Linked DNA regions of Coturnix japonica. The protein of the gene in region 1 binds, or shares a complex with, the protein of each later gene. Links are inferred from orthologs where the notes say so. Each region holds a gene or a part of one and is shown in the gene's direction. Other genes may lie near its edges.

The links.
Region 2: WASHC5 (region 1) and WASHC1 share a complex: the UniProt entries of both Homo sapiens proteins name them as parts of the WASH core complex. The link is inferred for Coturnix japonica from reciprocal best matches to the Homo sapiens genes WASHC5 and WASHC1.

The regions. Positions count from the first base shown.
Region 1 is NC_029517.1:125,011,555-125,027,626, reverse strand, and holds the end of WASHC5 (WASH complex subunit 5), read left to right. Parts: coding exon 1-119; intron 120-420; coding exon 421-573; intron 574-1,316; coding exon 1,317-1,430; intron 1,431-1,951; coding exon 1,952-2,123; intron 2,124-2,640; coding exon 2,641-2,768; intron 2,769-3,385; coding exon 3,386-3,515; intron 3,516-4,577; coding exon 4,578-4,690; intron 4,691-4,874; coding exon 4,875-5,041; intron 5,042-5,257; coding exon 5,258-5,333; intron 5,334-5,967; coding exon 5,968-6,078; intron 6,079-6,192; coding exon 6,193-6,333; intron 6,334-6,973; coding exon 6,974-7,054; intron 7,055-7,705; coding exon 7,706-7,807; intron 7,808-8,429; coding exon 8,430-8,609; intron 8,610-9,071; coding exon 9,072-9,196; intron 9,197-9,504; coding exon 9,505-9,667; intron 9,668-10,355; coding exon 10,356-10,458; intron 10,459-10,553; coding exon 10,554-10,633; intron 10,634-10,850; coding exon 10,851-10,954; intron 10,955-11,940; coding exon 11,941-12,070; intron 12,071-12,181; and 9 more. UniProt on the Homo sapiens protein: Acts as a component of the WASH core complex that functions as a nucleation-promoting factor (NPF) at the surface of endosomes, where it recruits and activates the Arp2/3 complex to induce actin polymerization, playing a key role in the fission of tubules that serve as transport intermediates during endosome sorting.
Region 2 is NC_029516.1:52,624,893-52,640,964, forward strand, and holds part of WASHC1 (WASH complex subunit 1), read left to right. Parts: intron 1-9,077; coding exon 9,078-9,189; intron 9,190-9,839; coding exon 9,840-9,986; intron 9,987-14,040; coding exon 14,041-14,177; intron 14,178-14,777; coding exon 14,778-14,913; intron 14,914-15,745; coding exon 15,746-15,950; intron 15,951-16,072. UniProt on the Homo sapiens protein: Acts as a component of the WASH core complex that functions as a nucleation-promoting factor (NPF) at the surface of endosomes, where it recruits and activates the Arp2/3 complex to induce actin polymerization, playing a key role in the fission of tubules that serve as transport intermediates during endosome sorting.

The DNA.
Region 1 (16,072 bases):
AACCTGGAGCTAAAAGACCTCCAAACTACCCTGAGAGTTACTTCAGCAGGGTACCCATAAGTGAAACATTCATCAGCATGGTTGTTGGCCGCTTGCGGTCAGATGACATTTATAACCAGGTGAGTTATTGTGAGAGAAAAGGGATCTAAAACTGAGTGCCAAGTATTGGGTTAGTATTGTAACCTGTAAAAGTTAGCAGACGTCTCCACAGTCAATTTCTATATTCTGTAAAATATGTCTGGTAAATACACTGCATGTATAAGCATGTCCAGCTTACCTGCATATCCTTATCTTGTACTGTGCTATATGCTGTATGTGTGTTGATGGATAGACAGTACTTTTCAAACTGCTTCATGATACTTGCAAGTGCTTTATGTTGTGTTATGTTATATTCTGTTTTATTTTGGTCTCTGTTCCCAGGTTTCTGCATATCCATTACCAGAACACCGCAGCACTGCCCTGGCTACTCAGGCTGCTATGCTCTATGTGATACTGTATTTTGATGCTTCTATTCTTCACACACAGCAAGCAAAAATGAGAGAGATAGTGGATAAATACTTTCCTGATAATTGGGTAAGATATAATTTGGTTTTAACTTTTTTCTCTGGGTTTTATGTTATAGAAGCAAGGTACTTAATTTTTACAGTATGCTTTCCAACCCCCTCCCCCACCAAACTAGTGTGCTCTGTGTATCTCTTCTGATTCTTTTTTTGGAGCAATCTTACGTGGTTCAGAATGAGGCACTCTGAGTCAATCCTTCTGGATAAGTGAGGACTGCTGCTCTTTAAGTATAACAATTACTGTTGTAAATACTTAAATCAGCTGTATTCTGATACCATCATGGTAAAGTGCTTCATAGAAAAGAAGACCTTCCAGTCTACATTGTTCTAGCTTCTGATAGTGTCTCCTTTACATTTTCCTCTGTACTTCTGATCCACATCTGGCTTTGTCTTACCCGTAACTTCCATTTAAGCAGTAGAAGCCTGCAGTCAGACCTCTTAAACCTTCTTTTCTCTATGTTAAGTAAACCCAGCTCCCTCAGCCTCTGCTTCCGTAGTGAGTCCCATCCTTGTGGCCTTCCACTCAATTCATTCTAGTTTGTCCACGCCTGTTGTGTACCAACGGGCTCAAATACAGACACACTACTCTAAATGGAACCTCAAGAGGGCTGGCAAGAGAGGAGCGGTCACTTCCCGCAATCCACTGGCCACAGTCTGAATGGTGTAGTGTGGTGTATAATTAGTCTTTATTTTCATAAGGCCATCTGCTGTTCGTGCCTATAACATATCACTTTCTAACGCTTGTTTTCCGCCTAGGTTATTAGCATTTACATGGGAATCACTGTAAATCTAGCAGAAGCATGGGAGCCCTACAAAGCTGCTAAAACTGCCCTCAACTACACACTGGACATTGCGAATGTAAAAGAGCAGGTACATAAACCAGATTTCAGTATTTTTAGTAAGATTTCAGTCTGTGTAATCATTTCAAATATCTATATTTTTTCTCATGTATGGAGTTGCTTGGATTTTATTCCAGTAGAATACTTTGAGTAACTTATTATCTATAAGAAGGTTAAAAATACTTTGGAATCTGGAGTTCTGGTCCTCTTAGCATTGCTTGTTTCACTTCCTCTTGTGGTATTTAGTTCCCTCGTGAGAGTTTCAAGGTTGTGACTTGACAGAATAGTTGCTGGTGCTCATCACGGTGTTGTTCAGTAATGGCATATCTTAAGCTCACTATAGCGTTTGTTCTGTCCTAAGTAGCTGTTTTAGAATTGATAGTAATAGAATAGCTAGATAGTTTTAGACAATGCGTCCCAAGCTTGTTTTGGGAATGAGAACACTTTTCTTACTTTGTCCCCATTAAGTTCTTGGAAACTTCAGCCACTTTATACATAGCGCATTCCTTGAGAGACAGCAATTATATTGATGCAAACGTTTTATGTTCTAAGGCGAACAGGTACGCTGCAGTCACTGAGCGAGTGCACACTCAGGTGCAGCAGTTTCTCAAAGAGGGCTGTCTAAGGGAAGAGCTGGTGCTGGACAATATTCCCAAGCTGCTGAACTGCCTGCGGGACTGCAATGTAGCAATCAGGTGGCTGATGCTTCACACTGCAGACACAGGTAAGAGCTCATGCCAGACTGTTATTTCAGAGTTGGCTGTCCTGCTGCACTGATGCTTCATCTTACGTCCCGAGACAAGTTCACTGTGTGCAGTCAGCAAAATGTCACCTGCTCTTTTTAGTGGCTTGTTGAACCGTTATTTTGTTATCATGCTCCCAAAATCATTATCTGAAATAAACATGCACGTATTTCCTTATGTGAGATGTGTTGCATCTCTGTGAATTTTCTATAAGTCTTAAGAAATGCTGAACTATGGGCTTCTGAATAAGGAATGCTAAATTCACTCTTGGTTTGCAGAAGCCAGCAAAGGAGTTTTAATGAAGCCAAAGCAACCCATAAACCTTTACCGTTTAAATGCACGGCTATACAAAGGTGATAAAATCCATATAAACGCAGGATAAGTGGGGATGAATCTATGAGACCAAATTGTTTTTGCTTTCAAGCTATTAAATACAAGTTTATATACAAAGATTGAAGAGTTTGGCCAAATTCTATACTCTTGTCCTTCCTTTTTCAGCTTGTGATCCAAATAACAAACGTCTCCGCCAGATAAAGGATCAAATTCTAACAGACTCAAGGTACAATCCCAAGGTTCTATTCCAGCTTCTCCTGGATACAGCTCAGTTTGAATTCATTCTGAAAGAGGTAACGTGCTACTGCAGTAGTACATTTATTACACAGGATAGTTAGAAGCAATGGATTATTTGCATTTAATCATGGGCTTTCTGTAGAGAGCTGCAAATGACTGCTGACTTTTTCAGTCTTCTCAGTACTTGGCAGTTTTTATTCTTTCTGAGTGTCTTTGTATTTATTGAGAACTTTGCATGAACATCCTGATGGTAAGCAGTGCTAATTCTTTTAATAGGTCAAATATCGAAGACTATGCTGAACTTTGATTATATACTTTTTTGGATAGAGCGTCTCTGTGTAGGCTGATGACTATGTGAGGTATAAATCTACATTGGATCAGTCTCTTCTAGTATCTGTAATTAAAAAAAAGATATAGAGTATTCTATAACTGGCTGAAACCCAGCAATATCTGTGTGTGTACATATGCAATTGATTTCTATCACAGGATGGTCATCTCACTGACCATACTTCTCAGTGCTTTTAATTTCATTATTTATATTCTGGTCAGGTCTTGAAGTTATGCAGCTCTCCCTGTAAGTCAGTTCTATCTGTTTCCAGTATTTTATTTCATTTCATTTTCTTTAGTGTGTCTTTTTGCCAGTTTCATAAACCAAATGCTTTGTTATCAATAGATGTTCAAGCAAATGCTGTCAGAAAAACAAGCAAAATGGGAGAATTACAAAAAGGAGGGATCTGAAAGGATGACTGAGCTTGCTGATGTCTTCTCAGGAGTTAAGCCTCTCACAAGAGTTGAGAAAAATGGTAATGACAGAAAACTGAACCTATGGGGGAGGAAAGGAAAAAGTTTTTATTTCTAAGCTAATACTGAAAGAAAATAGATGAGGTTAATAGAATCATAGAATCACAGAATTGCTTGGATTGGGAAAGGCCTTCAAGATCATAAAGTCCAACTGCAACCTGACCATACTACCCTAACTAACAACCCTGCACTCAGTCATGTCCCAAAACCATCCGGATGGTTTTTAAACACACCCACCTCCCTGAAGAGCCTATTCCAGTGCTTAACAACCCTTTCCATAAAGAAGTTTTTCCTGATAACCAACCTAACCTTGCCTTGGCACATCTTGAGGACATTTACCCTTGTCCTGTCACCTGTCAACAGTGAGAAGAGACTAACCCCGCTCTCACTGTGAGCACCTTTCAGATACTGGAAGAGAGCAATAAGGTCTCCCCTCAGCCTCCTTTTCCCCAGACTAAACAGCCCCAGTTCCTTCAGCCTCTCCTCACAGGGCATATTCTCCAAGCCTTTCACAGGCCTTGTTGCCCTTCTATGGATCTGCTCCAGCACCTCCATGTCTTTTCTGTACCAAGGTACAGATAATACTGATATACATATAATACTGATAATACAAAAAAAAGATGAACGTGCCTTAGATTCCACTGAGGTCTCTTACGTGTTGTGTTGCTTAGGTTTACTCTGTATATTCTGTATGTAAGCCTTGGTTAGGTTCCTAATATTAAGATGTAAATGTAAATTCATGATTTAAAGGACTTCTTTGTACAGATTTTGTAATGCCAGTTTGTTTCTGTAATTGTTTCACTGTGTTTTATGATATTCACCTGAGGGTTTGCTCTTTTAAAAGTCTCTGCATTGAAAGGCTGGCCGTGTAAAAAGTGAGATGAAGACTTTGTAAATACTCTCCTTTATGTATAGCAATTAGGGCTTCTTGGTTTTGTTTTTTTTGGGAGTATCCTAGTGGACTGTTTGGGGTTTTTCTGTTACTGCCCAGCAAGTTCCCTGCATCATTACTTCTTTACCACCCATGGAAATATTTGATTTATTTTTCTCTTGTTCTTGCCTAGAAAACCTTCAGGCTTGGTTCAGAGAGATCTCCAAGCAAATAATGTCTCTTAACTATGACGATTCCACTGCAGCAGGCAGAAAAACTGTGCAGCTGATACAGGCGCTGGAGGAGGTATGGCAAAGGCATGTTAAGATAAATGATAATTTACAAAACAGATCTTCATTTTAACAATAAGTGAAGTCTGTGTATCTCTGTGGTTTTGTATATACAGTCATCAGAATAGCCCATAGACTTCGTGATTGTAAATGAAGGGATACAGTATGAAAAAATTGTGCTTTTCTATTTGTAAATACAGGTCCAAGAGTTTCATCAGCTGGAAACTAATCTACAAGTTTGCCAGTTTCTGGCTGACACACGCAAATTTCTACATCAGATGATCCGAACTATCAACATTAAAGAAGAGGTTTTGATCACCATGCAGATAGTTGGCGATCTTTCTTACGCATGGCAACTAATTGACAGGTATCCCAGCGGGAGGCATTTCTTCCAAGTCATAGAATCATAGAATCACCAAGGTTGGAAAAGACCTTAAAGATTATCCAGTCCAACCTTTCACCTGTTACTAATAGCTCCCACTGAACCAAGTCCCTCAACGCGTTTCTGGATTGCACTGTTGCTAATGACAGATGAGTAGTTCCAGGGGAAGGAGCTGATTTGTTTTCTTTGTTTCCTACTCAGCTTTACATCTATTATGCAGGAAAGCATAAGAGTCAGTCCCTCTATGGTAACTAAACTCAGAGCTACTTTTCTAAAGGTAAGTATGAAGGTATATGAAGGTATTTTAATGCTGCAAGACATTGTTTGTTACATAGGCCTTAAGACTATAAAGTCACAGTTTAAATCACTTTTACCACTATTTTCTGTATCTAGCTTTATTTTTAGAATAAAATTACTGAATTGACTCAAGTTTAGTTTTTGTAAAGATAAAACCAAATAATGTGTGTTTCTCTATAGAAGCAGTAACATCGCTGCTGTTAGACAAAATAGTCTCATCATCCAGCCTCGATACGTTACAGTAACTTGGTGCAGACATCACTTCCAAAGGTTGAGTTTTCTGCATGTGTATCAGAGGAGACTGAGGATAGGTTGGTTTGTGCTGTTTGTCTGTCATGATGAAGATCTGGCATCAAATAAAAATATTGTCTGTAGAGTTAACTATGGGAAATAGCACAGGGAGAGGGGAGTAAAATTAGAGGGAAAAATATCTCATGCAACTGGTAGAATGAGGAATGTGGAATACTGAACTTCTTGACACTGTAATAAAACACTGCTATTTAGGAAGAATGAAGTATTTGAGTTGTAGCTAAAGAGCCCAGGCATAAGAGTAGAGTCACTTAATTCTTATTAGGAAAGCAGACATGAAGTCAAAATGTTCACTTTGTTCCTAGCTTGCTTCTGCTCTTGACCTGCCGCTTCTCCGTATCAATCAAGCAAACAGTCCTGACCTTCTCAGTGTATCACAGTATTATTCTGGCGAGCTGGTTTCCTATGTAAGAAAGGTAGGCATTTGAAGAGATGTCAGCTCGTTCTATGCTTATTTGTCCACAACTTCTGATTTATTAATATTTTTGTATAATGTAGTGACTGTTTGTCTTGTCTGTCTTTTTACAAAGGTTCTACAGATAATTCCGGAGAGCATGTTTACTTCTCTTCTCAAAATAATAAAGCTTCAGACCCACGACATTATTGAAGTGCCTACACGCCTTGATAAGGATAAGCTGCGAGATTATGCTCAGCTCGGACCACGATACGAGGTGCAGTTAAAACAGGGAATTCTTACAAATCATATTACATGGGGTAGTCAGTATTCTATATATTCTTTTAATTTTAAGGAATGAGGGGAATAACTACTTGTCTTGCATAAAGCTTCTCACTTGTGGCTTCTGTAGAACTGCATTGCCTCTGTTTGACATTGTAGATGTCTTAAAGGCAAATACTGGCTTTTCTGAACTCTGAGCATAAAGGTGCCTACCTAATAATTTAAAATTAAGTGAACGTGCTGCAGTATTTTGTTAGTGGAAATACTGAGGTGGATTCATTGCTAGCAGCAGGTTTTATCACAACTTCAAGCTGCTCCCCTTGGCCGCTCAGAGACACTGATTTGATGTTTTATACACATGATGCAGCAGGCCATGTCTCCCATAATCTTTGTAGAGCTTCTGAGTAGTGCCTGATCTCTCCTACTGGTAACATACCTATATCAATCCAATTAAAAGAAAGGTTGTTATTGCACAATAAGACTAGAACAAGATGTAAAATTGGAAGTACATCAGCGCAAATCACATTGATCTGCAGCAGGAAGCTACCACTGGAAAACATGTGTAACTTTCTGGAGCAATTATTTGTATCTGTTAAATCACTCGAATAACTTTTTATCCTCTTTTTCTATTAAAGGTTGCCAAGCTAACCCACGCGATTTCCATTTTCACTGAGGGTATCCTCATGATGAAAACTACGTTAGTTGGGATCATCAAGGTAATGTTCCTTTGTTTCAGTAAGAAAAAGTCACTTGGTGACAATTAGCACTTGAGCACAAATACTTCTGCATATTAGGCAAGACTTAGATAGAAGATTTAAAGAAAAGAAAGGAAACCCAAGAAAATATGAGCTTGCATACAGATCTTCAGACAGGTGGTTGGCATGGCATGCAGATTAGAACTGTGTTATTTAGGATCATTAAGGAGCTGCAGTTCTCCTTGTAAATAAGGTTCATCAACCTTAGTTGATATCTTTTTTCCCACTTTTCTGAAGAGCTGCTTCTTCCATTGGCAACCACTGTTCTTCCTGTATCTTTCAGGACTCCAAAAGCAACCATTCTTGAAGCAGTACACAGTTCTTAATATGTTCTGGTTTTTATGATTGTACAGCATTCTTAATGGATCATTAACAAACCCTGAATATGGGAACAACAAACATTTATTATTCAACTTAAAGGAACCATTTATTATCTCACAGAGGTACCTTAAGTATTTATCATCTGGACAAGCAGCTGGTGGGAAAGTGTGTCTGTGAGCACTGCTTTCCTATTACAAAATCAGTATTTAATGTAGCTCTTGGTAAACCTAATATCCTTTCATATTTTTGATAATTTTCTGATTTTCAGAGAAAAATGTTTCTTCTACTTAGGTGGACCCAAAACAATTACTAGAGGATGGAATAAGGAAGGAGCTGGTGAAACGGGTGGCTCTGGCTCTTCACAGGGGACTTATCTTCAATCCTCGAGCCAAGGTGTGTAGCAGCTTGATTTTATTTGATTTTGAATTTGATTATTTCTCAGCTTTCCTGGCAACTCTCTTTATTGTACTTCCTTCTAGGAAATAATTTTCTGTATAGATTTCCTTCATATAAAAAGGTAAATTTCTCAACTTCTTAAGGGTAGTTTGAAATGCCTTGCTTTGTGTTAAAAATAATGTATAGACGAGTAAGAGTGCATAGAATTTGAAGACCTATTTTTGTTCTGCTCTAAGGGTGCTTTGAATTGTGAGTTCACAGTTCAGTCCTTGTGGTGATTCATAGCAACATGCCAAGCAAAGAACACAAAAAGAAACAAGCAGAGTAAGGATTATGACTCCTTTTGTTCCTGTCCAGATTGTCAGATCTCTCTCGTAGATCAATCAATAGTAGTACTCAATCCTTCAGAAAAAGTTATATTTTTCCTCCTGTTTCTAAGAAGAACCGCTTGAAACGTCAGACAACCTATGTCACATTTCCCAGTGTCTTTTTACTTCTGGCTGGAGCACAGTGAAATGTGTGGAGCTCGTGGGTCAAAAAGGCATTTAGAAGTCTTGTATATCTTCTTTGTATTCTATTTATTCACCATTTTACTTTTATTGTCTTCTTCCCTCCTTAGCCAAGTGAACTGATGCCTAAACTGAAAGAAATGGCAGCAACAATGGATGGATTCCATCGATCGTTTGAATATATCCAGGATTATGTCAATATATATGGCTTAAAAATTTGGCAAGAGGAAGTGTCTCGTATTATTAACTACAATGTGGAACAGGAGTGCAACAACTTCTTAAGAACAAAGGTGCCAGTCAAGACCAAAAGTCAATAAATGCTCTTACAGTGGGATGCTGAAGTTTGAGTGATAGAACAATTGTAGTCCATCATGCGCAGTATGATGTACATACAGTACAGGATCACAATAGTCTCCTGTATATCTGTAGTTCGCCATCTGTGCACAGACGCTGTAGTTGCCAGATCTTATGGCATTTCACAACTAGAGGGGTGAATAGATTTTTGTTTAGCTAACAGAACAGCGGACAGTTTACCACAGAAAGAAGTAGATTAAATTCCTGCTAGGGGTGGAAGTCATTTTCTCAGTCTTCACTCTTACAATTTGCTTGCCCTTTGTCATAAGATTCATTCTTCTCTTTATAGTGTTCTGCTGTGTATGACCTACTGTGTTGTTCTGTGTTGTACTCTTGGTCTTAAAACAATTTTGGGAGCAAAGTAAAAATGTAAAATACTCTTAAAACTTATTTTTCAGATTCAGGACTGGCAAAGCATGTACCAGTCTACTCATATTCCTATACCAAAATTCACACCTGTAGATGAATCTGTAACATTTATTGGTCGTCTTTGTAGAGAAATCCTGAGGATCACAGACCCTAAGTAAGTACTGTGCAGCGCAAGCTGTATTAAAGCTGTATTAAAGCTGCTTGCATTAAATTAGTTCAATTCCACTGTATTCAAGGGAAATATGCAACAAATGGTTTTTATTTGACTGAAACATCGTCCTATTTATCTAAAACGTTTCTAAAATTTACCTGATCTGCCTTCTACCTTTTAAATAGTAGAGTAGAAAAGTTGTGATATTAGTAATAGAAGCAAAACAATGTGGGAACCCGTGTTACTCAGGTTATCACAAAACCTGTCTGCAGCTTGTTCTGAAATATGTTATTTTTTCAACTCTTCCTTAGGATCACATGTTATATTGACCAAATGAACACCTGGTATGATGTCAAAACTCATCAGGAAGTAACCAGTAGTCGCCTCTTCTCAGAGATACAAGATACTTTGGGTACCTTTGGTCTCAACGGTTTAGACAGGCTGCTGTGTTTCATGATTGTAAAGGAGCTGCAGGTATTTCTTGTACTTTAGTTTCTCAAGATTGCATTGCTTTCATTGCTGAGTACCTTTGCTAGTGAAATATGAGTTCTGTTGACTTTTGGAAGTCAATTTGACTTTTGTGATTTCAACCCCAAAGGTAGAATGTCAGTTGTGGGTGGAAGACCTGTTGCTCTAGAGTAAATGGAGCTGGTGAGTGTAGGTTATGTGTTACACAGTGCCTCTCAAGCATCAGTTTCTGCCTGTGCATGCTCAAATTTGACCTCGGGTCAGGTTTTATTTTCCTGTCTAGATATCAACAAGAAGATTGGACTGTTTGAGTCCATTTTGCTATAAATACAGTGTCAGTTCTTTGCAGTGCCTGTGATGCAAGTCTTCCTTTGAGAGAACTAGTCCTAGTTAAAGATTTTGAATCAAATAAAATACTGATTCCTCCTTGAAATGAAATACTGAGTTCCTCCTTGGCAGTTGAACACCAAATGGTCTGCAGTGAGTTTATGCATTGAAGAGGTGTAATTGTCCTAACACTGATGAGTGTAATTCAGCAAAGCAAGTGGACTGACTACAGGAGTCCAGAACTCTTCATTTGTGGAAATACTTTCCTTGCTTCTTGTCCAGTGGCAAAAGAGCAATGCTGAAAATGCTGTTGTGCCATCAAGCATAGCACACATGTGAGGGTTTTACTTGTCTTTCTTTTATTTAGAATTTCCTCAGTATGTTTCAGAAAAACATACTACGAGACAGGACAGTCCAGGATACATTAAAAGCTCTTATGAATGCTGTCAGCCCTCTCAAAGGAATTATAGGTGAGTGCTTTCTGGTTAAGATGAAAGGAAGCTGTTGTCTCGGGACGCTTGCTTTTACCTCTTCATTTTTTTTGTTTTTGTTTTTTTCTTCTCAGCAAATTCCAACAAGGTTTACTCTGCAGCAATTGCAAAAACTCAGAAGATCTGGACTGCGTATTTAGACTCCATAATGAAGGTAGGCTGACACTGTTCACTGATGCATCGGATCCACTCTAAGCTTTTGGTTATGCAGGGGAAGAAGAGAAATGAGGTGTAACGAGGACTTTGTGTGATCTATTTTACTATAAACTGTATGTTGTTACTCTTGCAGTTTTCCCTTAGTTTGTATTTCTTCTTCCCCCACTGCATTCAGTAAAATATAACACTTCATTGTCTCTTTTTTGCACAAACAGGTTGGTCAGATGCAGATCTTAAGACGGCAGATTACCAATGAATTAAATTATTCCTGCAGGTTTGACTCCAAGCACTTGGCTGCTGCGTTGGAAAATCTCAATAAGTAAGAAGTAAAACGTGTTGAAGGGCTGCATGTATCATTACTGCACTGTAGTTATTTGGATTGTTGTCAGCTAAACAGCTCTTGAGATCTGTATTTTGGCAAAATAGGGAGTCTGACTGGACTAGATACTTCCAGGGTTGGGACATACACAACTTCTCTGGGCAGTCAGTTTTAGTACCTCACCACCCTCTGTGTAAAGAATTTCTTCCTAATTTCTAATCTAATAATCTACCTTTTTTTAGCATAATGCTCTATACGTCTTTAGGTACTGGAAAGCTGCTGTATGATCTCCCTGGAGCCTTCTCTTGACCAGGGTTAACAACCCCATGTCCCTCAGCCTCTCCTCATAGACAGGAGAGGTGCCTCAGCTCTCGGATCATCCTTGTGGCCTTCCTCTGGGCTTCGTCCAACAGATCCATGTCCATCCAGAGCTGGATGCAGTGCTATAGGTGGTGTCTGCCCCTCTGCTCTGCTCTTGGGAGTCACCTCTCTTGCTCTGATGGCAATGCTTTTGATGCAGCCCAGAACACAATTGGCCCCTTGGGCTGCAAGCACACATGGCTGGCTCACATTGCGTTTCTCACTGACAACACCACTAAATCCTTCTCATTAGGGCTGCTCTCAGTCCGTTCTTCACCCAGTTTGTATTTGGGCTTAGGATTGCTCCAACCCAGGTACAGGACTTGCATGTGGCTGTGTTGAACTTCATGAGGTTTGTGCATCTCAAAGGCTGTCCGGGTCCCTCCAGCATGTTATGCACAACATACACTGGATGATAAATAGGAACAATGAAAGCAGTGTTAATTTCTAAACAAAACTGTCCTTGTAGAAAGGTTTAAAAGCAAGGTTGTTTAGTCTTGCTTGTAGCCATTGGCAGGTTTTGTGTGCATAAAGAGTTGTGTATGAATGAGATGTGTCATCGTGTGAGGTTTATTTCCGCATAGTTCAAGTAAGTGTTTAATGCAATTAACTGCTTTCTCTTGCAGAGCCATACTGGCTGATATAGAAGCACATTACCAAAATCCATCACTGCCTTATCCTAAAGAAGACAACACTCTTCTGTATGAAATCACAGCTTACCTGGAAGCAGCTGGCATTCACAATCCATTAAATAAGGTCAGGCTGACATTTGAGGGCTTGATGTAATTTGCTTTTCTCTCATGTTGTTAATTGAGGGGGAACATGTTATGGGAAACGTATGTCCTTTTTATTTTCCTCTCTCCTCAGATCTACATCACAACAAAACGCCTGCCGTATTTTCCCACTGTCAACTTCCTGTTTCTGATCTCACAGTTTCCAAAACTTCAGTACAGCAAAAATTTAGGTACTGTACGGGTTGTCCACTGTCTGAATCTAATGAAAGCCTATGTGAAACCATCTGCCAGCTCCCCATTAGCTGTGTGGTTCAGCATAGTGCGGTATGGTGTAGGATGTCCCCTTGGCCCTGTCCCTTCTCAGCTACTTGTGCCCCCCAGCTCCTTCCTGCAGGGCAGCGTGAGAAGCTGAAACATCCTTGGCTCAGTGTAAGCACTGCTCTGCAGCAACAAAAACATCGGTGCTATCAATATTATTCTCATCCTGAATACACAGCTACTACGTGGCAGCTACTAGAAGGAAAATTGACTATCTGAAAGGTGCTTACAGTGAGAGCAGGGCTGGTCTCTTCTCACTGGTGACAGGAGACAAGATGAGGGGAAATGGCCTCAAGTTGTTCCAGGGTAAGTTTAGGTTGGATATCAGGAAAAACTTCCTTACAGAAGGGGTTATTAAGCGCCAGAATAGGCTCCCCAGGGAGGTGGTTGAGTCACCATCCCTGGATGTGTTTAAAAACCATTTGGATGTGGTTCTCAGAGATATGATTGAGTGGGGGGTTGTTAGTTAGGGTACTATGGTCAGGTTGAGGATGGACTCAATGATCTTTAAGGTCTTTTCCAACCTGATTCTATCTCTATGATTCTATCCTAGCTAAAACCACGACTTAGTAAAACAAAATAAAGTGGTGCAGGAAACAACATCCAAACTTCTGCCTTTGCCATTCCACCCTATGCCTTTGTTAATGTCCCTAAGCCATTTGCTGTGAGAGAAATACAGTCGTGACGTTGGTTTTTGATTTTAGTGTGGACAGGCAGAACAGGCCCAGAAGAAAATCTTATGAAAATACATAACGCGTTCTGCCCCCAGGAATAGGCTGCTTTATAAACATGTGCTTTGGGGTTTGTTTTGTGTGCAGGCATGGTGTGCAAGCGGCCAGCTGATCAGATTGACTGGCTTCCCTTAGTTCTGGGGCTTCTCACCTTGTTGAAACAGTTCCACTCAAGGTACACGGAGCAGTTTCTGACTCTGATCGGTCAGTTCATTCGTTCAACGATGGAGCAGTGCGTCAGGTATCCACATTTCACTTTTCCTTATGTCACCTCCACTAAGGGCTTCTGCTGCTTTTTTCTTAGCGTAGTACATTCGGCGTAATAATACTGTTTGACTTGAGTCTAAGATTAAAGTGTGTCTCTTCTTGTAATGGAATCACGTGGTATGTAATGGAAAAAGTATTGTGTGAAGCTTGGCATTTTAGTAGAGTGTTACGCAGGGAGCCACGTGGTAAGATGGTGGTCTCCGTGTTTGCTTAACATTAGCCAGAAGATACCAGAGATGCCTGCTGACGTGGTGGCTGCCCTCATGTTCCTGGAGGATTACATTCGCTACACAAAACTACCAAGGAAGGTAAGAACAAATTCCCCGTCTCACTGGGTGTGCTGTCCTCACTGAGCTGCAATGTGTCTCTACGTCTGAACACAGCAGCAAGAGAAAATTCAGGGAGCTGGGGGATGCCCATAGGGGATGTTAATGGATGTGGCAGCTGATGGTAGAACAGTTTCTACACCAGCTTGAATCTGCCTGGATTCTTTTCAGACCATTCAAGTGCTATTCACTGCAAGGTTTTGTTTTTTTTCTCCCTTCATTCTTACAGGGGGCTGAAAAAAAGCTCTGATGAGGTATTCTAAATAATAGGTGTAGTTTCTGTTGGAAAGAGACTCGTACACGTTCTATATGGAGCCCTATTCTGGGGAACTAAGTTTGGTTTATGCCACAGCTGCATACCTGAAGCTGTGCCTACTTTAGAATATGGCATCATTTGTAAATGAATCTGTAAATGAACATCCAAAACGATGGGCTTGCTCGGAATGTCCAGAAGCAGCCTTTACCCTTTGTAGATGTTCTGTCAAAGAACACCAAACTAAAATAGAGATGAGAAATCTGTTACCTGACAGGAATGGCTCAAAATGGGTTTCTTTGTGTCTGTGTAACCAAGAGCTCTGTACAGCGTGTGTTACTTCTGTGCTTGGTGTAACCTATCTTGATGTTAGTCCTTGTATCTTTATGGAAACTGTATTTTTCTAGAAGATTCAGAGAGGGTGGAAAATACAGGAAGGATTTTCTGTTTTGTATGGACTGGAGGAACAGCCTGTTTCCATTCAATCTTCTCATTGCTGGGGGGCTTTCAGGAAACGAAAAGAGAAAACCAAAGTTCTCAGATGTTGTGGAATGAAATAATAACAAGTGTAGCAACACTCTGAGTCTAAGGCTGAGAGCTGTTCAGGAAGTCTGAGTCTCTGGCCCTTCGTTGCCTTGCCTTCCTTCCAAAGAAGCAGGGCTTCCTGTGCAGCTTCTGTATTTCACGTACAAGGGAAGTTCTAAAAGTCTTTGCTTGTAGAGACACTTTCTCTTGGATGCAGTGTGACTTAACGGCATTTGAAGATGCAAAAATAATTTACATATGAGATTACAAATAAGGCATAATCCGATCTGGTCGAGTCCATACCTTAGTTAAGAAAAGTTGCTGATTCCTAGCTGTACTTTGGGCTAAAAGGGAGACTCTTCCAGTCTTACCCTCATTCCCCACCTCAGCCTGGTGCTGTCTGGAACCTCTGGGCCCAACAACCTCCCGCAGCTCTGGACTTGCTCTACTTTACATGCCTGGCACGGTGCTCATTCCTTGTTCAGGTCAACAGGCTCACATGCTCAAATGGTAGATTAAGAATGCAGCATTAACGGACAAGCAGAACACATAAACGAACAGTGAACCTGACCAGCTCCTTTCCTTTAGGTCGTTGAAGCACACGTGCCCAGCTTCATATTCGATGAATTCAGGACTGGTCTATGAATATGGAGAAGGACCAAGGCTGAAAGAAGGGACTGAAGATGAGAAAAGTACAGCTTTTCCTGTGCTTTGAGACAGCTGCAGGTGCTGCCTCAACAAACTGCAACCAGCAGCCAGCCGCTGTCATTCATGCTTGTTTCAATCTTGGCATGATCTGCGCTGAATCTCATCCCTGCTCTGCACATTATAATGGTGTACGCAGTTGTTTACGTATCAATCTTTTAGTTTTTTGTTCTAAATAACTCTTTGTGGAAACTGGACTTTTGTATCGCAGATGAGCAACGCAATTGGAAATAAAGAGATTGAAATGTTTGCTGGGACTGGTGAGTCCAGTTTCCTTGTTAAAAGGATGGACTGAGCCTTTGTTATTAAGGCAGTTGTGACTGATTTCATGTTTCAGGTTGTGTTTGAGTTAACTCGGGCTGCAGCTTAATGGCGATGTAAATTACTACTGTAACTCAGTGAGCAGAAAAACCAACTGTGAGGAAACCATTAAGGAAAATGGGGGTTCACAGTTCAAACGTTCCTCCCTGGGATTTATCATTTCCAGGTTGGATGAGGCAGCCTGAACCAGGAAGGGGCCAGCAGCCCATGGCAGGAGTTGGGGCTGGGTGGGCTTTAAGCTCATTCTGACCCAACTGTAACTCCATGAAATATGTTACCAGGAGACAGAAGTGCTGTGCACAAGTAAAAGCAATCTGGGTACAAAGAAAACCACAGTAACTCAATCAACACATCCTGTTTCCACTGCCAGTTCCTGGGTTACCGCACGGCCACAGAGAAGGCCCAGCTGTCAGCTTACAGCAAACCCTTCAACACAACATGGGAACCTGGAGAGCAATGAGCCCAGACACGCCGAGGCAGTAAATCATCCCTCTTGCCCGTGGTTTGTGCCTGCAGAGGGATACATGCTGCAGTGCGATCATTGCCAGTGAGTGGCATTTCAGTCCTGCACTGGATGA
Region 2 (16,072 bases), on another chromosome or scaffold:
AGTCCAAACACCATGGAATTGTAGCGACACTTGTAGAAGCTTATGGAGTTCAGAAATAAGTACAATTTATTAATGCAGTCAGGTTGTTAATGGCTGGAAATGGTAATATCCTGGAGCCTGAGAGCAGCATATCCAGAAATAATAGTGGTGATGTTGTGTCCTTAGTGCTGTATAGGTATGAGAGAAAAGATTCCCACATTGAGCCTGAAAGCAGATGGTTTTACTGTGTTGGAAGAGACCTAAGAGCCCTTTGAGAAATAAAGAAAAGAAAAATTGGCAGGAAGTGGAAGCGCTGGTCATCTGTCTGTGGTGCTGATCTCTCTCCTATGAGGAAAGGTCGAGGGAAATGGAATTGTTTAGCTTGGAGAAGGCTCTGGGGAGACTTCATTGTGGCCTTCCAGTACTTGAAGGGAACGTACAAACAGGAGGGGGAATGGCTGCATAGTGATAGGACAAGGGGAATGGTTTGAAACTGAGACAGGGGAGGTTTAGGTTAGAGATTAGGAGGAAGTTTTTCACACAGAGGGTAGTAACACTTTGAACAGGTTGCCCAAGGAGGTTGTGGAACCCCCATCCCTGGAGGCATTCAAGGCCAGGCTGGACGTGACTCTGGGCAGCCTGGTCTGGTGGTTGGCAGCCCTGCACATAGCAGGGGATTGAAACCAGATGATCATTGTGGTCCTTTTCAACCCAGGCCATTCTATGATCTGATGATTCTTCCCGCTACTGCCTCAAATGTCTGTAACTATTATTCTCCTCTAGAAATAACCAAGGAAGAATAAATTTTAACAAGGTAGTGTGTGCTTCACACCAAAAAAATAAATAAATAAATACAAAATTTCTTTCCCTTTTTCCTTGTTTTGTAGCCTGCAGGTATGGCGCTATCATCTGATTCTCCCACTCTTCCTGACACAATTGTTAAGTTGTTCTTTTCTTATACAAAGTGATAGCTCTACCTTCTCAACCAGCTTCAGATGCCGGACTCTCACACATGTGTTGGAATCATTTTCTCTTCCTATGGATGAGTTTTGTCTATTCAGTCAGCCCTGAAGGAAGAGTTGCAAACAAGTCACTTTGTTTTACAGGCATGACTTCCATCGGGGGTCTAGTGTGGAGAAAACTGTCTGGAAAATAACACCAAGAGGCTTGAAATGTGTTTTACTGACTCCCACCTCTATAGATGGTACTGTGTGCACTGTGGAGAGAGTTGGGGGAGGATACAGCAGTGCCAAAGGTCTGTTCTTCACACTTGACTGGCGTATTAAATTCTCTTTCTGCAGTCCTTCTTTTTGACTAGCTGTGGTTCTGTCATTGGCCTTTTTCAGAATGGGGTAGGTTAGAGTTTGGGTGTAAATGCAGTTGATGGTTGAGACAGAACAGTGCTTTTGGAGGCAGCAGGTCAATTTGCAGATGATAATAGAGGAAAAATAAGAACTTGTTAATGTTAATCCTCCAAATAATCAATTTATTGAGGGAATCTACTGTTCTCTGCCATTAGGGAGGGGAGAGAATGCAGGATTTAGAAGTAATGTGTGTTAAAGAGAAACCCCAGGAGGATAATGTAGTGTCTTCTGAGTTCAATGCCATTCTTAATTTATTCACGAATATGATCCTTATTCTGGATTAATAAATATTTTAAAAGGCAAAAACATGGTTTTATTTTACTTTGAGGAATTTAATTTTTCATCAAGACTGAAAGTAAGAAATGCTTGAGGGGCCTAAGAGGCATGACAGGACATTACTTGTAAGAAAAGAAGGTAATGCTGTTGCACTTCAGCCTAGCATTAGTGCAGCAATAATAGCTTCTCTGGTAATCAATTAAATGTACGTAGCATACCTGTCATTTCAGTAACTCAGCATCAAGACCAACTAAAAAATTCTTGTTCTATCTGTTGCTTTGGCCCAGTGACTAGATTTCTCTGGCTCCACTTCAACAACAGCGCTTTTGAAAGTAGCATCTTGGTTTTAGACCAAACTCAGGACTTTTCTATGTGACTTTTTTGAGAGGCAGTCTGAGAAGCTTCTAACTCCTGTTGGGGAACCAAGCACTAGGCAGGACTTTGTTTGTTCTTTATACAGTTTAGGAAATGAAATAACAAAACATCACCAAAATCATACCTTTCATTATGCTTCATGCTTACTTCGTCTGCAGGGGATTAGCTGCTGCTGAAGGCATTGGTCCGTGAGAATATTTATTGTGTTAATATTTTACAAATAGAGTAGACTAACAGAATTTTTGAATTTACAGTCCTGGAAGTTTTGTGGTGGAGAGGGAGGATTGCAAATTATGCTGTACAAATTTGTTCTGGTATTACTGCAAAAGCAGTATGTCCATTGTTAATGACTGTTTGCATGTCACCACTTAGGGAAGATGGATTTAAAAGGATGCTGAGGAAGATGAAATCATGTGTCTAGAAATGTTCTCAAGGTGATGTCTGATGACTGACGTGCCACAGAGATCTTCACTGAAATGATAGAGCAGCTGTCGAAGTAGAAAGGTTCTGCTTTTCAGTTCAGTTACGAAAAGCCTTCTTGATGGGGCCCAAAGTTTTTTGGGGAAAAGTAACCAGAAATGTCTTATAAGTACTTTAATCACTCAGGAAAGGTGTTGGATGAAAAACGTGATAAAAAGTTACTCTTATTTTGTGGAGCACTTAGGCTGAAATTAGCTTGTTGATGGGCGTATCGTGGAAGGTGCCTTTTGAGATTTGAGTGTGACTGCAATTGATTATAGGAAAATGAAGAAGTAACATGAATCAGACCCTGTTTGTGAAGTGCAAATATTTTGAAATGAAAAGCAACATTGGCAATAAATAAGGAAATAAATGTTTCTTTTACAAGAAAGAAACCCTTTTTGAAAGAGAGGGATATGTTACGAGAAGTTAAAATTGGAAGGCCAAGTTGAGAAAGGGAAAAGGTATAATTAGCAGTGAGGTTTCTTAGCAAAGACCTGGTAACTATTTCTGAGAAAGCAATTCTAACGTGGTTGGGCTTATTTTCTTTGTAAGACCATTTGGAGGGGAATCTTGAGTCAGCATTGGTTGTCACAGGATGGTGAGGAGGATCATTGTTGAACAAAAGCAGTGAGTGGCTGTGGTCAGTCCATAATGCTTAGTTTCTGCTGTTCTGTCTTGGTCACTCTCCACCCCTGCTTCCTGCACTCTGACCAGCCCAGGCTTCTCCTTCAGGCCTCTCCATGGACTGCAGCTCCTTCAAGCCTCATTTGCTGCTGTACCATGGGCTCCTCCATGCCTGCACATGGTGCCCATGGGCTGCTGGAGGACAGGTCATCTGCTACAAACCAGCCTGACATCTTGTTCTGTATGCTTAAGATGATGTGGGCTTGCTTTCCCGTTGTGAGGAAGACTCTGCAAATGTCAGTCTTGCTTCCCTACTTCATCACTGTGTTGTAGCAAGGCTTCTCTGGTTCCAAGTGAGACAGGGGGTGGGGAAGCTGACATGGGCTTTCAAGTGCTAGGCTCCTATTACCACATTCAGGTGAAGTTCTGAAGCTTCAGCCAATTTGGTCTGGTGTCTCGTGCATTTTTCTCTCACAACCCCACTTGGGAAAAAGCACGCATCAGATATTTTAGTCTGGAGTGATCTGTCTTCTCTGACGTCTCCTGACAGGAAATGTGGAGTGAGATCTTGATTAAGAGTAAAGGGCACAATGAAAGAGTTGTCTGTGTAGAATCAGATATGGTGCCAGATTGAAGACTGTTCACCACAGGGTCACCTGGATTCCACTCCGAAGTTTCCTGTGAAGGCTTTTCTTGGGAGAACAGCGCTGCAGAGGAGCATGTATTGCAGTGACAGGTCATCATTTAAAACACTTTCCATTTCTGCGTAAACTTAATTCCCAGTGAATGAAGTTCTTGCTTCACCTTGAGAAGGATCCTTTTGGATGAGAACATGACCTCTGAAGAGCAGATCATGCTGAGGGTAACCTGACAACCTTCATCACCTTCCAGGCTGCAAAACTGTTTGGCATTGCGGGAATGGGGCAATATGCGAATGCTGGAACACCTGCAAATCAGGCTTAAGGAGCAATCAAAGTGTGATAAACATTAATTAGTATAATACCCAAACCCTTAATGGAGGAAGGAACATTGATTGCACTGTCTCACTTGGGATTTCTTTCTGCCAGAGACGATGTATGATGACAGCTTCTGATTACACTTACTCAGACATGAAATAAGACTTTAAAAACTGCTTAAATATGAAGGAGAGAGAAGAGCAGAAAGCAAACAAGTTGATCTTTCTTTGAGTGGCTGGACGTGTTTGGCTTTCTGTAAAAGCATACGTTTTTGCTTTTTGCCTTCCCGACTTTTAAGGTAAACTGTCATTGTGAGATGGCTTTGAATGCTTCCCTGGATTGCTGTAAACAGTGAACATTTTAGCAGCTTTTCGCTTGCCCTCACCATCTCAATTCTGCAGTGTTGTTGGCTGCTGGGTAGAGTCATTTTGTGGGAGTGGTGAGAAGGGGACTCTGGCTTCTCACAGTCCGTTTCTGGCTGTGCTGGTTGTTGCACTAAGGCTGTTTGTAAAAGACACTCTAGTGCCTCATTAAACATGATTCTTTGTTAGCCAGCCGGGATGCACTGTGGTATTCTAGCCTAGCTCTCTTGGCTTGTTTCGGCCTTAGTGGACTCTGCACCTAAGCCCTTAGTTACAGGTACCAGAGGTATTAGTTGATCACTTCAGCAACCTGGGGAGCAGCCTTTTGGAAACCCATTGAACCTTTTCCTAGAGGTCTGGTGGTATATCATTGGTCAGCAGTGGCACCCTGCTGGTTTTCCTACCAGTAATTTGGATACGTGGCAGCCAACAGTGTTATTCTTCACCGTTACCCTGTTTCAGCACCAAGCTCCTTGTAGAGTCTGGGGATGTATTACATTTCAAGAACCATAAACACCGTCCCTTGTGATTCAAGGGAGGAATTTAATAAAGCTACACTTTGTAAGAAAAAAATAAATAAATGTAAAAAGCAGCTTGAATTTTGGGAAAAAAGCCAAGGGTTTATAGAACAAATTTACAGTGTGTACCTAGAGGTTTAGAATAACAGTGCCCAGCATCTCCCTGCTATCTGTCAGGAATGGAGCCCAGGCTGGGAGGAGACCAGAAATCTGACTTGCCGTGATGTGATCAGTCCTCATTTAAGGAACAACAACAACAACAAAAAAGTCATTTTATACTTTGGCTGCCTTATCCTCCTGTGCAACTTCGTTTCTCATTCTGCTCTGTAATGTTCTTTCTCCTTGGTTGATTGCTTACTTTTGTACTTCAGACATGAAATTGAAGTTCTTTGGTATTCCAAAGAGGTTTGCTCCCAGGCTCTGCTGGCTCACCTTTCTCATTCACCTTGATGTGGAGTTCACTTCTTCTCTCTCCTGTGTCCTAAGTTTTGTTGTCCCTGTCACTTTTGGGTGATGTGTGTGCTGAACATGGACAGCAAAGGGCCTCTTTCTGCTGTGATACTTCTCTCCAGCTCAGTTCTCTTTCCTCAAGCTGCTTTGTTCAGTCATTTTTCTGGTAACCTGTCAGCCTACCTTCAAATCTGCTCTGATTTTATTTTTTCTGATGCTGTCTGATCCCAAGCAAATATAGATGATAAAAATCTCAGTTTTAGCTTGGCCCTATGGACTGCTTGGAGACTAAGAGGAATATGTGGTTAATACCACAGCGGGTAATTGACAGGAAGCATCTTGTGTCTTTCATGCCAAATCCCGAATGCTTCATGTGGTTTTCCCGTGGGAGTAAGAGAACAATAATCTTTCCCCTCTGAGCGGGCACAGATGAAGCAGAGGAGATTTCTCTGTAGCTGCCTGAATATGAGGATTATCAGAGAAGTTATAAGGAGATAATAGGAAATGATAAACTCCATGGCTGCAGATGGGCTGGAAGATGCACAGCCTGTCAGGGCAGTGGTGAGGAGGGGGGAGATATTCCTGAGAACTGCTGTGGATGTTTGGAGTGAGTCTCCTCTAAAATGGGGAAGAACGTGAGGCAGCAAGGTGAGGTTCTAGGAGAAGAGGATCCCTCAGCTAAAGGTGAGGGGTGAGTGGGGCTTGACAGTATAAAGATTTTAGAGGGACAGAGGATGTGAAAGCTTGAGTCAAAGCAGCCGAAAGATTGGCTTTAATATCTGCATAGATAAAAATAAAAGTCTCTGTGGATTAAGAGATAATCCACTAGATAGATTTAATCTGCCACATGTATTACTTCCCCAAAGAAAAGCACTGGGATGGGAAGGTTGCCTTGGCTCTGTGCCCGGGTTTTGAAGGCAGGTGAATATATTCTTTCTCCTTCGGGCCCCCTTTTCCCTTGTCCCCAGTGCAGGGGAGGGCTGTCCTTGTGCACCTCCTGCTTCTCTGCAGCTCTGAAGTCAAGTTGAATCTAGCTGCGGGAGCTCCTGAAGCAGAAAAGAGTACCGAGAGCAGAGTAACACAGCAGTGACTAATAAGATGGGCACAGGGTAGCTTCAGATGGTGGTTGTGTTCTCAGCTGCCTGGGAACAGGATTCTGAGGGGCAGTAACAAACCATTTTATTAATATTCACCCTTCCTGCCCATCCTGCCATTGTGTTTCATATGAACACCACTGAGTAACTCAATCCTTTCAGCATGGGGACTGAAGTCTCAATGCAGCACTGCTTCGTATGCTTTGCCCTGTAAATCCTTGGGTACACAGTCCTCCAGCCCTTCGTGTTTCTTGTCTTTACAAACACCACTTTGACTGTAACTTGAACTGTGCACACGTAGCAGTCATACATTCCTTGGAGTTTGTGATGGAATGTCATTGATCAGTTGGATTGAGAGGGTTTAATCATTTTCTGATAGTTACCTTGGTCAGCAAGAAATAAAGCAGTTCTGGTGTGTATTCCTTCTGCCTTGCGTTCTGTGAAGGTGAATCTCAGGTGAAGGTTTTTGGCAGATCTCTTAATGTCAGACTGGCAAATCCTAGAGCAGGGATCATAGGAGAAATCACAGATCACAGGGTGCTTCTGGGGGCAGACAAAGTGACTTGAAACACCTGAGCTGGCACTGAATCTCAGAATCACAGAATGACCCGGGTTGGAAGGGACCTCAAGGATCATGTAGTTCCAACCCCCCTTGTCTGGCAGGGCCACCAAACATACACCTTTACTAGATCAGGTTGCCCAGGGCCCCGTCCAACCTGGTCTTGAACACCTCCAAGGATGGGGCATCCACAGCCTCCCTGGGCAGCACTGGACAGCTTCCTCGCCGTGTGCATGGAGTAGGCAGTCCTGTAGTGCCATTTTGTGGGTGACTCTTAATTATCTAGGAGTAGAAGGGAAGGATGAAGCTGTAGTTGAGTTTCTTCGGAATGGAGAGGAAGAGGTGGTACCTGGGGTGTGTACATAGGTAGCAAGAGAAGAAATTGCCAACTCGTTTGGCCTGCTTGCATTCTGGAGTAATAGGATGGAGAATGGGTACTGGTTTTCAGGCTTTGCTTAAGATTTCCTTCTGGAAGAGAAAGGTTTGCCTCATTGGCCTCTGAGACCTGGGTCTGGGAGTCAGCAGAGTGATGACTAAAAGTGTTTGACACCTTCTCTTAACTTTGAGCTTTTGGAAGGCTTTGCCAAGTTCTTTTAGGACAGAGGTCTACTCACAGGTGAGAGGGAAAATGACATCATTGATTTGAGGGAGAGAGGCAAAGCAGAAATAAATGACTAGTTTTTTTCATCTTTGGAGGAAGTAAAAATAGGCAGGTGCCCCCAGGAGCAGCTCTGGGAATGAGGTCAATCAATACGATTATGAAACATCTGCAAAGGAAGTCAACTGTGAGGTGGGAAAATTGGCTGGAAAGAACAGTTAGAAAAGATTTAGTTCCTCGGGAAGCGTCTCGTGCTTTAACAAAACAAGGCAATGGGACAGCCTTGTGACACATGGAATTTGCTGCAGACAGGTGCTAGGAAATGCATGCTGAAAGGAACAACATAAGCTACTCTGAGAACTATCAAGTATATAAACGATGTGGACTTCCTCCGCTGAGTCGGCGGGAGGGAGTGGGAAGGAAACCATGAACAGATTTGCATTTAGTGTTGGTACAAAATACAAGCTGTTAGGCTGTATTTAAAATAAAAGGATAGGGAAGTGGAGGATTCTACTGAGAGGTGGGATCTCATGAGGTTCAGTTTTGCTCATCTCCCACTCCAAATAGAGTAGAACGGGCTGTTTGCTCTCCTGCCCTGTGAACGAGGGTTTTCATGCCTTCAGAAAGAGGGGTGCATGGTTATAAGCAAGTAGAAACACTTAAATCTGGCTAGAGAAAGAAATGGGGGTCTTTCTGAATGAAAGGGGTTGAGCTGGCTGCTCTCTTGCTGCAGCCAGCAGGAGCCTTTAGTGGAGTCCATTTTTGCACCAGGTGAAAAGACAGCTTTGGTAGAGTTGGAAAGTGTTAATGTTACCTTTGTTACTGAAAGGGATTATACAGACAGAAGGAAAACAGAGCATAGGAGTTCTCTGCTTAAGTGCAAAGAGGGACTTGGGGATGGAGTTTAAAGAAAAGACCAAGATTGATTTTTACAGGCACAAAATGGTCCGCTGGAACTCGTTACTACAAAACAATGCTGAAATGAAGTACTATGTCTCCTGAAAGACTGTGGCCACAAAAATATTCTGTGCTGGTTTTGCTGAAGGGATGAAGTTTCAGAACAGTTGTTAGCGTTTGAGCTTGAAGTGGGGCTGCACCTAGTAGTTATGTATGGAGGAGGAGGGTCTCTTCTGAGAAGCTTGTTATCAATTGATAACTGCATGTGGCTTTCTTGTTAGCTGTATCTGCAATGAGGCAGGGGGGTTTCTGCACTCAGTTCTCCATCTTATGTTCTGTGCCTCAGCAAGGAGAATGTTGCACAGAGTTGTTTTGTTTCATGTTGGAGCACGTGAGAAACTCTTAATGGGACCAAGACAAGTATCTGACCCAGTGCTATCTTGCCTTGTGAGACAACCCTGACCACTGAGATTCATATCCTTCCCTTTGGTGTGGCCACTGGCTCTTGCCAAAAAATCTCTGGCTTTGGATTCTTACCCTTTAGCAATGTCCTTGTTCCTTAGGATCTCTCAGCGGGTGGAAACCAGCCGGGCACAGCTTCAGGCAATCAGTGAGAGAGTCACGCTCGCACAAGCAAAGATTGAGAAGATCAAGGGCAGCAAGAAGGCTATTAAGGTAGTGACTCCAATGAAAGCTGTCTTCCCTCCTTCTTTCTGTCTTCTATCTTTACCTCTGCAGAAAAACAGCTGCCCATCCACCTCTCTGTGCGTTGCTGCTGAGCAGGAGCTGTGATGAGAATCCCCATTTTGACAAGGCCAGTTAATGATTCTTCAACCCACGGACTACCCAGCTCCTGGCCATATGAGGCCTAAATAAGTTGTTGCCTTAGCTACTACCTTTGAAATGAAACAGCTTTGTGCTTCCCTATGCCCAACGCCCTCTCATTTCATGTTACAATCTTGCATTATTTGAATAGATAGACAGCCTCCCCTCCAATGCATGTTTATCTGTGTAAAACTAGTGGAAGTCTTCTTTAACCATTCCTGCTGTATTTAATGCAGTGTTTCCAGTTCCCTTCCTACACTTTGAAAGCCTTTCTGCCTCCTGTTGCTTACAGAGAGAGTGAATGTTTGGCATTTCAGCTTTCAAAACTGATGGCCCTCATGATGGTTTCTGTAGAAATAGCCCTTAGGAGCCTGTTGAGTCCAAGGCTCTCCATTCCCACGGGCATCACAGATCATGTGCCTTAATCTACTCCATGTGTTTCTACAGCAGAAGGTTGCTTAGTTGCTGGGATTTTGAAATCCCTCCTTGTCTCTCCTCAGGTATTTTCCAGTGCCAAGTATCCTGCCCCCGAACGGCTGCAGGAGTACTGTTCAATTTTTGCTGGTGCAGAAGACCCAGCTAAACAGAAATGGCCAAGACACAAGATCCAGAGCAAGCACCGAATGCTGGATGAAAAATCCTTGCAGGTAAGGAGGAGGAGAAAAGACCATGAGATGAACAAGAAAAGAGAAGTCTCCTTGATGAAGTAGACCAGAGTTTTAGGTGTAGGTGGGGAGCTGAACAGCTGTTGTCTGCAGTAGGTAATGTTTAAGGAGGTGGTGGTGTCAAGTTCCTTGTTTGTGTACTGAGTGACAGGGAGATGCGTCTTAGGATGGTCTGAGAGGTGATAGGTTTGATGTGAAGGAACTCCCCAACAATTTGGTTCAAAGTCTCCTTGCCTGGATTGGAAAGAAGAGAGGACAGGTTGGTATCTGTAAAGGTTACTGCATCTGTACTGTGCCAGGAGTAGCAGATGTGCTCGTCCTGGCAGGTCAGGGTTCAAGCTGTCAGCTTCCCTGCTTTCTTCCCCTTAAGAGACTTGCTTCCACATCCTTGTATGCCTTGACCCAAAAATAAACCTGCCACTGAATGTTTTATCACGTTAAACCTTCCTGAGTTTTAATGGAGTTGAGGTCTCTGTACAGCGAGGGAGTTATGAATATTTCAGCCAGGCCGGGAAGTGGGGCTGCTGGCCGAATGGACATCTGGCACGCTTGGGCAGGGTTTGTGCATCCTTCAAAGCCTGGCAGTATCCAAGGGCACAGCTGCATGGGACTTGTCAGCCAGCTGGGGCAAGCCAACTGCTGTTGTGCTGGCTGTCTGATGCCCCCATCCCATCAGACAGCCTACAGAGAGCAGAGGTACACCAGCATTGACAAGGGAGGGACTGGTACAGACCCTCACATAGGGGGAAGACTGAAAAGAGAATTAACTGGTAGAGGCAATGTCCCACATAGAGCAAATGGTGTGCCCATTTGACTTGCCTGCTGGTAAGTTCTGCATGATCTTCTTTGTGGCCTATGTCACTCACCTGCGGTGCCACCCTTCCCCTCACTAAGGTGATCTCTGTTCCATTTTGGAGCTATGCTCTCCATGATCAAGGCTGCCATCACCACAGGGGCGTTTGCAGACCTCATTGGATGTTTGTGCTTCTTCCCTCCTCCTGTGACTCAGTTCTCCCGTTGAGCTATTGCTTTTTTGGGAGGGCCCACAGCTTTGTCAACCATAACTCTTTTGTGGGGTAGGACAGTGCTGTGCTGACAGCTTATGAAAGATAGAAGGACCTGCAAGAGCGGCAGCTGCTGTGCAGTGGGGCTCAGCGTGGTTCAAACACCATCCAGGGGGACAGGGCCTTCTCATCTACAGCTGAGCATGAGCCTGATGTGCCTTGCAGTAATGAAATGTGACAGAGAGAAGTCTAATGTTTGCATTTATACCCTCCTCAATTATTCAGGGCTTTCAGCGGAGGCTCACTGCCTGTTTTCACTTCTAATGAGGGCCTCTTTGCTGGGAGCAGTCACGGTGGCCTTTGCTAATTTCACACACACACACACACACACACACACGCACACTCACACCCCACCAGGAAAGCAAGCTCTGCTCCTGTCATTTTGAGGGTAAGTAATGGCAGCCTGTGCTGAGTGCTCAGGGTTGGTGCTCTGAGGCGAACTGTATGTGGTTCTACAATTTTGTTTTAAAAACACTTCCCTTCTGGGAAATTCTCTTTTGCCCTCCATTCCACAAGCAAATGAAGACTCGGCTGGTGAGAGGACAGAGGCATAGGTTGGTAACATAAGCACCGACAGATGTAGATAGGGTCCTTATGTTAAGCCTGATTCACTGTGTATATGGCTGCGTTAGCATCTAGGCGCAGTTAAATGTGAGCTGGCTGCAGCCTTTTAGGGCTTCTAAGGTGCTGGACACTGCCTTTATGGGTGGGATATGTCTGAGTGCTGCAGGGTTCTCCACTGGGACTGGGGAGAGGTCCGACTGAAACTTGCAGGTTACTGGAGATACCTCATTAGACTTCAGCAGTGTCAGCAACCTGAGCTGCCCTGTATGCTCTGCTGAGTCCACCATAAGAGGAGTCAAACATTTCCTGACTTTTAACTGCTTTTCCAGCTAGCCTCCATTAGCATGAGAGGGAAGGGGTTTCTGATGCATCACCCCAATTCCCATCATAAGATTGCGTGTTAATTAAACCTCAGAACCAGCATGACTTATGTATTGTTAACCATAGGCTCTGAGGGAAAAAAGTGTCTGGAAGTGCACCATACACCATCCTGCTAGGTGCCAAATCACCATGTCCAGGTGTTGGAGCATTCAAGCACACTCCAGGACTTCAGTACATTGAGGCTGATGAACCTTTGGCTTACAGTCTTCATGTCACTTTAAGAGCACTCATTCTTAAGTGATATGCCAACCTGCGGAGTTCACAGTTGCAGGATATTATTGATGACAGGTACCTGATCTGAATATCAAAACAGATGTGGATATTTTAAGGCTTGCACTTTGGTGGCATTTAAATTAAAAAGATTTACATTTCAGAGCAGTACACTTGGTGCTTTTATAACTGCCTTAGATTAGACTTACAAGTAAATGTAGGTAATGGTTGGTTTCTCGCTCCACCCTTGAAGTGACACACAGTCTTCCAATGCTTATTGAAATCAACAAAAAGAGAAGTAAAATATATATATGTATTTGACGCGAGGGCTAAGCGTGTGTGAACAGTTCTGCAGGAACATCAGTGCTCCCTCATGCTTAACAAATCAAGTGTTGCAAAATGAATATTAATGATCAAAAAAGAACCTTTGTTTCTGAATCTCTGCTTCGAGAGTCTCTAAATAACAATTGACTCGTGTATTTTTGCCTATGTGCTGCTGCAGGAACACAAGGTGTTCGTTTCAGTGTATTTTTCACAAGTTGGAATCTGTTATTTGGAGGCACCTCCCAAGTCTTTTCCCACAGCGTTTGTAGACTCAAAGCACCGTACAAACTTGTGGTGGGTTTGCTGAGCTGTGACTAAGCCATTTCGCAGGATTTCTGACTACTGAATTCAAACCTGAAATTTCCATTAGTGGAAACTGCTTATGTTGCTGAGCTGAGGTCTTGAGGTCTTAAAACTGAACCAGCAATGGTCTCCAATTCCCCCCTGCAAGTATAAAGAACATCTGGTAATGCTGGAAGTAGCAAGGCATTAAAAGGCTGTGGGCAGCGTTGGAAGCTGTATCAGCATGGAGCTGAGAGGCTGCTGCTTGTCCCAGGTTGACCAAAGAATGAGTCACAAGGTGCTGAGGAAGGATGTGAGGAGGGGTCTAGGAGGAGAGTTTGCTGTTTCATAGGCTTTCTCTGGGTTCAGGGACAAATTCCTTTCCTCCCTGTAGTGCCGTGCATGCAGCAGTATGTTGTGGTCACTGAACATCATCCCCCAGAGCATCTGGCAGCGGGTGCTGTCATGCTAGCTGAAACGCCGCTCTGATCTGGGATGGCAATTCCTGTGCTCTGTAAAAGTCAAGCAGTTCAGATGTAATAAGTGCTTTTCTAAAGGGAGTTCTATATATTATGCATGAAGTTTTAGAACCAAGAGAGAGGAGATTTCAGTTCATTAGAGTTGAAAACTCCTGCAAATCCCTCAGGCTTTGCAAAACCATCTGGCACGTTCCACCCTGCGCACTCCTGATCTCTCTCCTAGTGAAGACATGCAATTTTTCCCTAACCTTCCTTTGCCTTCTCTGCGTACCCCACCAGTGGGATCACCCCTCCTAAAACATCAGGTGAAGGCAGCAGAGGGGAGGTAATAGAGATGTCTGGGGGCTCTGCTTGCATGAAAATGTCTGGTATCTCCCAGCTGGAGACACTATAGCAAACGCCTTGTTCAGACAGAGATGCTCAGTCCCTCCCTCTGGTTATAAGAACCCAAATGGCTGTTTTATTTTGATGGATTCTTGCCACTGGAAACACCAACAGTATCACCCATCTGTGGCACCAAAGACATATTTTATGGGCCTGAACGGATGAGATTCGTCACCTGGGGTTTCAGTTTTGTCTATGTGCTTTCTTGCTCAAAGGGAGGTAGAGAGGGGGAAGTAGAATTCCCAGACTTGGCAGTGGAACCATTAGTGCAGGTTTTGGTGGCTGGGGAGAGCCCACTGGCTTTGTTTTTTTGTAGTGTTTTGCTGCCTATTATCTGTCTTCTTGCAGGAGAAGCTCAAGTACTTCCCTGTGTGTGTGAACACCAAAATTCACCAGGAAGATGATGCAGAAGAAGGTCTTGGCAGCCTCCCAAGGAACATCAGCTCCCTCAGCTCCCTGTTGCTCTTCAACACCACGGAGAACCTGTGAGCTGGCTCAGTACCATGCTTGCCACCTGTCTCTGCTTGTGCCCAGAGGAGCTATCCCTGCCCCAGGGCAGCGGTGCTGCTTGCTTTCCTAGGGATCTTGCTTAGCAGACTCCTGACAGGACAGTGTTTGGTAGCTAGCAAGCCTTTCTCACTCACTCTGCTCCATGGGTGGAATCCTCCACTCACCTGCCTTCAACCCAGCTTAACACTTGTTTTTTTCCTGTCATCATCCTGTAAGTTCTCACCAGCCTTGAGAGCTGTTGTCACTTATACTCTGCCCCATTTGCCTGCTTAGGTACTTTCTCCTGATGGCTCCTCACAACAACATTTGACCACTGTCACTGCTTTAATGTCTCCATTGCCCACACACGCTGCACTTCCCTTTCCCATCTCACTTCACCTCATCCTTCTGCCCACACTGAAGAACTTTAAGTCCTAGCTGAGCTTTCCGCTGCTGGACCTCCTCTTTGTTCCCACTGATTATTTCCCCTCTTTTTCTTGTTCCACCTGCTTGAGTGACTAGGGAGCTCTCCTTCAAGTCCTTCTTGGCTAACACTGTTGAGGTGGCCTCGCTGAAATGTTTGCCTTCTGCCCTAGGTACAAGAAGTATGTTTTCTTGGATCCACTAGCAGGAGCAGTGACCAAGACCCATGTGGCTCTGGAAACAGAGACAGAAGAGAAGCTTTTCGATGCTCCTCTCTCCATCACTGAAAGGGGACAGCTGGACCGGCAGGTGAGATGTAGCCGAGGGGATGTAGTTGCTTCCAAGTCAAGGGTATGTACTTAGCTTTCCTAGAGGAGGAAAAAGCTTTTGTAGGGTGGAGAACAGTAGGGCAATGCCCCACCCCCCGTGGCTGCAGGGTAACTTGCTTATCAAAAAGACCTTGCCTATTTTTGTGCCTGCAGTCCTGATCTGTGCTTAATGGATGAGACAAAGCCCTTAAACTTGGCAGGTGTCTCTCAGTCATTTGCTGGATGGTGTGAGAAGTGTCATGTGATATGATTCACCTTGCTGCTGGACCTCAAAGTTATAGAGGACTTTGGAGACTCCATCACTTGATCATCTACCTCCCTTGTGCTAATTCCAGTAGAGGAGTGGCTGTGAGGTGCCACTGCTGGAAGGTGCCTGAGGGAAGGCTCATGCCCTATTGTTCCTGCTGGAAAGGGCCACTTGCTAATGAAAATGGAAAGGCCAACCAGCCTGAACAAAGGGGTGTGATGTTTGTTGTGACATGGGGCAGGCAGGGCATCAGTCTATACTGCCCCCACCTGACTGACCTTGTAACAAACACCCTGTAGTGACTGTACCTAGGGCTTTATTGGTGTATGGTTGAATGTGTGGTTTGGGGCTGGGGAAAGGAAGCTGGGAGCTTGTTGGGTCAGACTGGAGATTGTGTTTAGAAAACAAGAGCATAGAGTTGTATGGCCAGCTGAGGGCCAGCCACAGTAGCAAAGCCTACCTGAGAGCCCAGCCTTGGCTGTCATCCACGCTATTCTCTGCAGTGCCCCTGCTTGCTGCAAGGAAATGGAGTGCCTTCACAGCACTGTCCTTTTGTTTCTTTTAGGTAGCTGAAAATTACTTCTATGTGCCAGATCTGGGCCAGGTCCCTGAGATCGATGTGCCATCTTACCTGCCAGACCTGCCTGGCATTGCTGCAGATCTCATGTACAGCGCTGACCTCGGCCCTGGCATCGCACCATCTGCTCCAAGCAGTGCTATTCCAGAGCTGCCGACTTTTAGCACTGAGTCAACAGAGCCTTCACAAGCAGGTATTTCCAGTCACCATTCCAAGGACCCTGTGAAGGATGAAGTGGGAGGGGTTCGCTGGAAGAAGGTGGAACAAGGCAGAAAGTTCCTTAGTGGAGAGGTCAGAAGGGTGCTTTTGGGTCTG